2 linked regions of the Rattus norvegicus genome follow. The protein of the gene in region 2 purifies or fractionates together with the protein of the main gene of each other region. This does not show direct contact. Links are inferred from orthologs where the notes say so. Each region holds a gene or a part of one and is shown on either strand. Other genes may lie near its edges.

Region 1 (4,281 bases), on a different chromosome or scaffold from region 2:
GTTCAGACCATGTCATCTGTGTTACAGGCTCAGGAATCACTGAGACCTGTAAGAAGCTCTGAGGGAATCTGACATGGTCTCAGGCTTCTAAGCACACACAGGCATGAACACCAGCACACACACATTCACATACACTCACAGACAAAACTGAACAGAATCAATTCTTTTAAAAAGATAAGACCTTGACCAAGACAGGCTACTAAAACTCCTCAAATCTCATGACTGAGAACTTGAGAAGGGGAGGCAAAGCCATCTATCTCAGTCAAGTTGTAGGCCAACCTGGGCTTCTTGGTTTGTTGTTTTGAGGCAGGATCTAACTAAGAAAAGAGTCTCCTGACTAAAACCACAGACTGTTCTGGAGCACACAGTGTTGTGCTTCGTGTTCAGGTCGTGCTAAGTAGATTCATGGAAAGGGAGGAGTGGGGTCACCTGTAGACACAATCCAGGAGAGTTTGCTAGTACTGAAGTAGACACGATTAACACGAAGTGAGTCGTGGAGCTTAAATCAGGTGTGGAGAGATACTGGCTGGTGTGCAGCTCAGCAGTAGATTATGTTTAGCATGCGTAAGTCTCTGGGTTTAGTCTTTAGCACCGCACCCAAAATAAATAAAGGGAAGGAACTTAAAACATCAAAGCATTAGACTCAACTTTTTTAAAGTCCTGGCATAGTGTCAATTGAATATTAATCATGGATTGTAGCTATACGCTGCTTGAACGTTGAGTCGTGTTCTCAGAAGTTGAAATTCGTCAGTAGGTAGTTTTGCCATGAGAATGTCATGAAGGGTAGTTAAGCCCAACTTAGATGTGGCACAGGAGAAAATCACAGTCGGAAGATGCAGAAAGCACAAAGATGTGTGAGGTTGCCGTGGGCAGAATTCAGCAGAGCGTTTCACGCGGCTTTTAAAGTTCCACAGAAATGCCCTAGCGACAGTCACCTGTGTTTACCTCACATCTGTGGTACATATAGAATTGCATGTGCCTTTTACATCTGGTCACCCAGTAGACTGGATTTTCGTACCGGCATTACTTCACGTTAACCAACGGACAGCTTTGTCACTGGGGAGACAGTGGGAACATCTCAGGACCACTGTTGTCCGTGGTATATGGTCCACCATGATGTCATTAGGGCAGGGCAGGGCATGACCGTCTCCAGCAGTAGCAACACAAATCAGTAAAGACAGTCGTGAACTTGGGAAAATAAATCTGAGTAAGTGGTGAGTTCCGTATTTGTCGTGGAAAGAAGTCGTTTGGTTTATCTGGGGGCTTTTTTGAAACAGGTCTCCCTGTGTACCCGTGGCTGGCCTGGAACTGGCTGCGGAGGTGAGGCCAGTCTAGATGACATCCATCTGTGTAGCTCCATCACACTGGAGCCTCTCACTGCCCTCAGGCCCCACACCCGGTCTCTGGTCCTCTCTGTGCAGTGCTAAGCAGCCGTCGTCTACTTTCTACCTCTGTCGTCTCTTCTGGACTCGGGAGTGAGTGAAGTCATCTGTCTGTCACATAGCTTCTTTGGTTAAAGCATAGATTACAGCACATATCGGTGCGTTGTTTTTATTGTTGGTTCCCACTTACTCTACCTGGTTGGGTGTGCTGTGTTATATCAGCTCATGCTTAATGGGCGCTTGGATTATTTGTACTCCTATCAGCACCTGTTGCACCTCCAGGGGACCTGAGTTCAGTCCCAGTGCTCCTGTCAGGTATCTCATGACCACCTGTAACTGCAGCTCGGGGATCAGATGCCTCTTCTGCTTCCGCTGGCACCTGGACACATGGGGCATACACAGACAAATAAATACAAAGTAAAAGTAAATCCTTCGGGGTTGGGGATTTAGCTCAGTGGTAGAGCGCTTGCTGAGGAAGCGCAAGGCCCTGGGTTCGGTCCCCAGCTCCGAAAAAAAAAGAACCAAAAAAAAAAAAAAAATCCTTCAGCAAAAGAACAGTGCTGCATGGACACTTGAAACAAATTTCACTTTGATTCCTACCAGCGTCACGTAAGGGTTCCAGGTTCTCCATGTCTTTGTAGATATGTCATTTCTGGCCTTTGCTATGATAGCTGTATTTCGGCCCATCCCTTTGTAGGGTATTGGTTTACTTTATACTCCCAAGTGGGTTTCCCCACATTTTTTTTTTCAGTAGGTAAGAAATGTTAAGTTTGTAACCGAATATTTATTTTCCTTTTTTAACAGGCTAAGGAAATTTTAACAAAAGAATCAAATGTACAAGAGGTTCGCTGTCCTGTTACCGTCTGTGGAGATGTGCATGGCCAATTCCATGACCTTATGGAACTCTTCAGAATTGGTGGAAAATCACCAGACACCAACTATCTATTCATGGGTGACTATGTAGACAGAGGATATTATTCTGTGGAGACCGTGACTCTTCTTGTAGCATTAAAGGTATGATTGATGAATGTGGGGCGGGGGTGAACTTCAGAGGAGGCCAAAGGCAGAAGAATGTGCAGCATGAATCATCTTTAATTTCATGGTGCGTTTGGTCTTAAATAATAGTTGGCTTTCCATCTTTTAAAGAGAGAGGAAAGTCTATGCTTAAAACTTCCGTCTATTTCTGATGAATGTGTAACTCATGGTTGTCTATAACTGAGCTCTGGAATTATATTTAATTACCAACCTTCATATGGAATCATTAAACAAGTGTTTAATTCACGGCATGGGAAGCCCATTGCTCCTCTGACTTCCTGTTTGTACTGCCCTGCACTCCACACGTCTGCCTTCAAGATCTGCTCCTTTCATCCCTGTGTTGACTGCCGGATGAATCTCAGCTCCTGTCTATCTTGCTACTTCCCTGTTCCCAGAGTCCTCTTTGATGTCACACAGTCACGAGAGTCAAACCCATTAAATGCTGCAGCTCTCCTGTAGTCTGTCTACATTACCTGCCTGTAACTCACAGCAAGAGTGTCTCCCCTCAAAGAACATTTTTATTCATGCTCTACTCTAGGCTTTTCTGTTTCTTTCTCTAGTTTCCCCACAAGATTGCTCTGGCTGCTTCCTTCTTACTACTCCTGCTCAGACAAATGCCTAGGACTTCTAGATTTCAGAAAATTGCATATTCATAATGAGATGTCTTAGTAGGGGACCCAAGTCTAAGCATAAAATCCACTTGTTCTATATATATCATATGTATATACCCGTTCTTAAATTTAATTTAAAAATGGACAAAAGAATCCATTTCTTAAAGAAATGGATTCGAGGTTAAAGGTAACAGCACTGGAGAGACGTGGTTGTGTGACGGGTTTCTTTTCCTTGTCTTCCAGGTGCGCTATCCAGAGCGTATCACAATATTGCGAGGAAATCATGAAAGCCGGCAGATCACACAAGTATATGGCTTTTATGATGAATGCCTACGAAAGTATGGGAACGCCAACGTGTGGAAATACTTTACAGATCTCTTTGATTATCTTCCACTTACAGCTTTAGTAGATGGACAGGTGTGTGTATATGTGGGTGACGGTGTCTTGCAGAAGGAGGTTAAATGTGGGAGAACATTTACTATCAGGCATCCAGGATCTGTATTGACAAGTTATGTAAGTCTCTGTCTATTCTGATTAATACAGTACTGGGGAGTTAAACCTGGTGCCAAGCCAGGGCGCTGCCCCTGGGCTACAGCCCCGTTCATGATTTGGTTGGTTTGGCGGTGGTGGGTTTTGGGTTTTGTGTATGCCTATTTTGGAGGGAGTCTCACTCAATTGCTCAGGCTCAGACTTGACCGTACTCTCAGCACAGCTCAACTCTCCTGCCTTATGTTCCCAAGTAGCTGGGGTTCTAGGCTTCAGTCACCAAGCCCTGCTTCCCCTGCCTCTGGTCTTCTGGCCAAAGAAGATGTGTGCCCTAATGTGTGCTCTAAAAAACAAAACAAAACAAAACAAAACAAAAACAGTGTAAATAAATGCTTAAGTCTTGGGGCATATATATTATTAGTAACACAAGATGTAATTGGAAATTGTGCCCATATTACTACGTTCCCTGGTTACCATTAGTAGCTTTTTATTCCTATTTTCATGATAACTACAAACATAATATTGTATATTATATCTTTTTTATCAAGAGGGATCTCTGTTTCCAGCATAGTAAGTTTTAAGGCATACATATAAGACATTACACAGGTTTCCTAGTTCACCATTTAGAGGCTGCACAGTGAGCTGATTTAAATTCATGTACAACACACAGAATAAAACTTGAATGTTAGCAGGTCTTTAATCCCTGCACTCAGGCAGCAGAGACAATGGATCTCTGAATTCAAGGCCTCCCTGGGCTAGAGTTAGTT
Region 2 (4,946 bases):
ATGTATGTATGTATGTATATGTGTATCAGATCCCTTGGGTCTGGAGTTACAGGCAATTGTGAACTGGCTCATGTGGGTGCTGGGAACTGAATTCAGGTCTTTTGGAAGAGCCCAGCCCCATCTTTTCCATCCTCATGGCTACTGCTCTTTGTGTAAGGATCATTGGCTATTTAATTGTTTAGTTATTTGTGCTGCTGGGGGGAATCCAAGGCCTCTTACCTGTGGAACAAACAGCCACAGGCTTACTTGTTACTTTTTAGTTCTGAGAGTTGGTTTTGTTGTTGGTGGTGGTGGCCAGGTGGGTTTGTCTTTGTTTTCTGTTTTGTTTTGTTCTAAGAGGTTCTCACTGTAGTCCAAACAGGTCTGTAACTGGCTCTAGCTAAGGCTGGTCTGTAGCTCCTGATCATCCTGCCTCTACCTTCCCAGGGCTGGGATTACAGTGGCAAACCACCACACCCAGCTCACCGGCTTATTTTTGATGGACCTCCTCCAGTTTTTTAATGTAGTCTGTTGGCTACTGGGATAACTAAAATATATTCCTCCATGTCACTCTGAGGTTTGTGTAATTTATGTGATTGTATTTTAATCATCTCTTAATACGAGTCTGTGAACCTCATTAGAGTGGGAACTACCTGAGGGCAAGAACCCAGTCTTATCCACTAGAACACTGGCTTGGGTGCGGCAGCACAGGTAGGGATAGGTTTTCTGGGACACGGAACGATGAGGCTGCTTTTCTACTTCATCTCAGTGGCTCAAAACGCAACTGGTTTACTGACCCCAGCACCCTTGCAATAGCTACAGGAATCCACGTCTTGAAGCTGCAGCAAACCAAGGTTTCTTATTTTTATTTCAGTCCGGTTCCACCGCTGATAGGCTTCCCCCTCTGCTCCTCTACAACGGTGATCTAGGACAGACTTGATGAATGCCCGGGAGGACCCTTGGGAGTCTTCTCTATCAATTTCACATGTTCAATTTGAGCTACTTTAAATTCCTGTGAAGAAAGGTGCCCTTTCGTGTTAGGGCCTCTTTCCTCCAGTCCGAACGGAGCAGGGCAGGTAGAAGAGTAGGGGAAAACGTGAGAGCCACTTCTGGAGGGAAGGAGCAGAGCTCAAAGGACTGAAGAATAGCAGAGGACGACGCATAAGGCGACGCCGGAGTGCAGCTCTGCCAGCCCAGCTCCGGTTTCCCCATGGCCCCGCCCCCTCCACGAAGCCCGACCCTTTCTAGGGCGGGACCTTCCACTCCAGCCAATTCTAGGAGCCGAACCCTGGCGGTTTGTACTCGTTCTTTCCAATGAGAAAAAAGGGAAGCTGCTTGGCTCCAATGACCAATCCGAGGAGGCGGCGCCTGGTTGTCAGGCAGGTTTGTAAGAGTTCGGGCCAATTGGAAGCGCAGCCACCGCTCGGCCCGGGCGCAGCGCGCAGGCGGTGGCGAAGAGACGCCGAGCGGGCCGAGTGCGGCCGAGCAGAGCCGGAGCCGGAGCGGGGCCGCAGGAGCCGGGCCGGGTGTGGACCGGCCGAGATGCCCTATAAACTGAAGAAGGATAAGGTGAGCGTGGCCTTTCCCCTAGTGCCTCCGCCGCCGGGCCTGCGCGCAGCTCTGGGAGGGGCCCGAGGCAGGCCCGGGACAGCCTCAGACTGACCCTCTGGTCCGGCCCCCCGCAGCACTCCCGCGGCCAGCCCCAGGGCCGCGCGGCTGGCAGCGCCCCCAGCCCGTGCAGCAGCTGGGACAGCTCTCTGTCTTTGCCCGGACAGATTTCCCCCCACCTATCCCTCTTCCCTTCCTCTTTGCTCCTACCCCCGGCCCCCTCAAGATCTGCTCCACTCCCAGCTCACTCCCTTGCTTTTTCTCCCCGCCTTTCTCTGTCCCTGATCCCCCACGGGTTTGGGACAGTCCTCCTCTAAGACCGCGTCTCCCTCCAGTACTCCCCCCACCCCCGCCCTGTGCAGCCCCTTCCCTCTTTTCCCCACCAGCTTAAAGACGGCCTCTCCACAGTTCTGTACAGTCCCTTCTCCCTCCACGACCAGCCCCTGACCTAGAACCGCTCTGCTTTTTCTCTCCTCCGCCCAAATCTGGCCTAGGCCCCTCCCTCGAGTCTTCCTTTACACACAAACTTGTAAGCCAGGACCGAGCCCTTCCTTCTGTTGATGGAACCCCAGAACGTCGGCGCTGGAAGGGAGATTTTGAGCACATGCAGTGTATTATCCTAGTGGTACAGATGAGGAGACTGAGGCCGTGTCAGGGGAAGGGACTTGTCCAAGGTCACACATCCTGCTGAGGGCCCAGCTGCAATCTCAGGTCTCCCGACTTGGAGGGCTCTTCTGTGCAAGAGCCTAACTGGCATCAGCTGGCTTCTGTGTTCACCCCAGACAGGACGCGGTTCCTAATCTGAGGAGGCTCCTCCCAGCATTCCTTAGGATAACCTTTGCATTTTCTATTGTGCACCAGGACAGGGTTTCTTCCTTTCTTGGGACATATTAAAGCAGAAATCGGCCCTGTTCTGTTTAGTTGCTTCTCGTCCTGCAGTCCAGCCATCCTGAACATGCACACTTGGTTGTAAACGTCCTTACACGGGACATTTTTGTATTATTTGTAGTGCTAGAGATCAAACCCAGGGTCTTGCCCATGCTAAGCATGTGTAGTACCATTGAGCTACACTCCCGCCGCCTAGGCCATTTCTTGATGTTTGCCTTCTTTTACCGTCTTTTACCTCCAAACCACCCTCACCTGTTCCCTGCCTTTCTCTACCCTTTGTTTGCTGCTGTTGCTGAGATGTGTGGTTCTTCCAAGATGCAGACTGTAACTGGGGAGGCTGGAATACTAGTTGTGTTGAGCTAGCTCTGGCCTGGTATTGTAGTCCACTCTCCTGAGGACCCCAGAGGTGGTTTGCATTCATTTCTCCCCTGATCAATGGTGGGCCACCATCTCTAACCTTATCGATCAAACTCCTTATCGTGTTTGCCAGGTGGCTCTGGTTATGGGCTGTCACCGGAACTTCTCCGTCTGAGAGTCAGTGCATAGGACGGGTGGTGGGTGATGAGCCGGGTATAGTTGTGTGCCCTCCCCAGGTCTTGTCCGTGGGGAGTGGGCTCGGCAGTGGGCGCCAGCCAGCTGTAGGGACTGCGCACTTAAGTTAGCTAAGCTGGGAACTGAGGCCTGCGGAGTTCAGGGAAGGAGAAGGGATCTCCTTAGGCATCTGTTTCTAGTCTGTGGACCAGATCCTGTCCCATCTGTAGAAAGCCTTTGCCTAGCGGGTGACTGAGAATTAGAGGGGACATTCTTAGGCTTCCTCGGGCTGTGAGTGGTTTGCTTGAGAAGGGGCACTGGGAGGATTGCGGTGTGGGGAAGCAGCCGTGGAGCCCTTTATGAGAGCTGATCTCCTGCACTGGATTTTGGGCTGCATTTGGCCTCCTTCGGGTTCTGAGGGGGAGAGAGATGACAGTGTGACTGAGGTGTACCAGGATGGAGGCACAAAGACAGGTGGGTGGAGGCTCCTTATTGCTCATCCGTCACCTGTCCCTTTTCTCCTCGATATCTGTCCTCCATGCTTCCTCGGCCAAGCCTTTCCTGGGCCTTCACTTGGGCCCACTTTACAGACTGCATTCAGGCTTGCATGGGAATGACACATCTTGCCCTTCCTGAGGTATTAACAACTGTGTGCAGGCTTGGTATGTCCCTTACACACAGTAGGTGCTTAGTAAGTTGGTGCCGAGTCTATCTTTGGTGAGACGAGCAGCTTTCCCTTCTGAGATTGGATTTAGGTCTTTTTTTTTTTTTTTTTTAATTTTCCTGCATGAAGTACCCCTGCTCCCTCCCACTTTGTTGTTTATAGTAGCAGTCTTAATCGACATTCGGATTTTCTGTGCCAGACACTGGGCTAAGGGAAGTGGATCCTACGGTTGGCTTTTGTTTAATAGGTGAGGAAAACGAGGCAGAGAGAGGCTCATTACCTCCTCACCGGAACATAAGAGTTGATCTCAGAACAGTGCTGGCTGGAAAGCCCAATGCCTCCTGTCATGCGACAGCTGGGCCGGGCCACAGTGTGTGTGCTTCACCTGTTCTTCAGAAGACAGGGAGCAAGGCTTGTGGGCCCTGTTCCCCTACACCCACTCACACCCACACACCAAGGCAGCTGAGTCTCTCAGGCACATTCCCTGAGAGATGTGTCTCAGGCATCGTGCTCAGCGCCATAAGGTGGGTGGAGGGGTACAAGAGGCTTAGGCAGCTTATGATCAAGTAGGGAGACAAGCCTTGAATGGTGGTGGGTCAGCTTTGTTGGAGGGCCCATGTCTGCTGTGTGCTGTCAGTCACTTTGGTGCTGGGTCCTGGCTGCATTTTTTTCTCTCTCCACCACTTGCTCAGAGCAATTGACAGGAGTCGTGTGGCCAGCCCGGTCAGTGCAGTGGGAGAACGCTCAGCCCAGAGAGCCCCTTCCTCCCTAGGCAGAGCTCTCAGCTACTCCTCATCCGGGAATGTTTTTCCCTCTCCACCCCCAGAAAGCCTCCCCCCCTGCTCCAGCCCACACAGAACTCTTCTCCCTGAGATCGGTTCGCCCCATAGTCACAATCATTTGATTTAACACTTCTTACTGAAGGGGCTTGGCTGCTGTTGAATTGCAGACTCTCGGAGCTGGAAGTGATTTCCAAGGTCCTCCAATCCAGCTCCCCTCTAAGGCTTGAATCCTTTTGTAGCACGCCTTAGGGGAGGTCATCCAGCCACTGCTCAAATGCTCAGGCCTGGGAGCTTTCAACCTCACTGGGCAGTCTGCTTCCCATGCACCTACACCGAGAAAACCCATCCTCGCTGGCCACCGTCTGTCCTCTGTGGACGTCCGTCAGCCCATTTCTCTCGTGCCTCTGAGTTGCGTCTTTGCTGCACACGGCAGCCCTTCCTCTGCTGGTTAGGCTTCTTCTGACTCCCCTCCCTTCTCCTGTTCCTCCCTCCTA

What was found. Proteins that work in one complex are often made in the same cells at the same time.
Region 1: the proteins of Ppp2r5d (region 2) and Ppp2cb purify together in Homo sapiens (affinity purification with mass spectrometry; 8 studies listed by BioGRID and IntAct, counting the BioPlex papers as one, with this or other methods). This does not show direct contact. The link is inferred for Rattus norvegicus from reciprocal best matches to the Homo sapiens genes PPP2R5D and PPP2CB.

The regions. Positions count from the first base shown.
Region 1 is NC_086034.1:65,268,316-65,272,596, reverse strand, and holds part of Ppp2cb (serine/threonine-protein phosphatase 2A catalytic subunit beta isoform), read left to right. Parts: intron 1-2,186; coding exon 2,187-2,396; intron 2,397-3,271; coding exon 3,272-3,445; intron 3,446-4,281.
Region 2 is NC_086027.1:21,772,372-21,777,317, forward strand, and holds the start of Ppp2r5d (serine/threonine-protein phosphatase 2A 56 kDa regulatory subunit delta isoform), read left to right. Parts: upstream 1-1,521; coding exon 1,522-1,548; intron 1,549-4,946. UniProt on the Homo sapiens protein: The B regulatory subunit might modulate substrate selectivity and catalytic activity, and might also direct the localization of the catalytic enzyme to a particular subcellular compartment.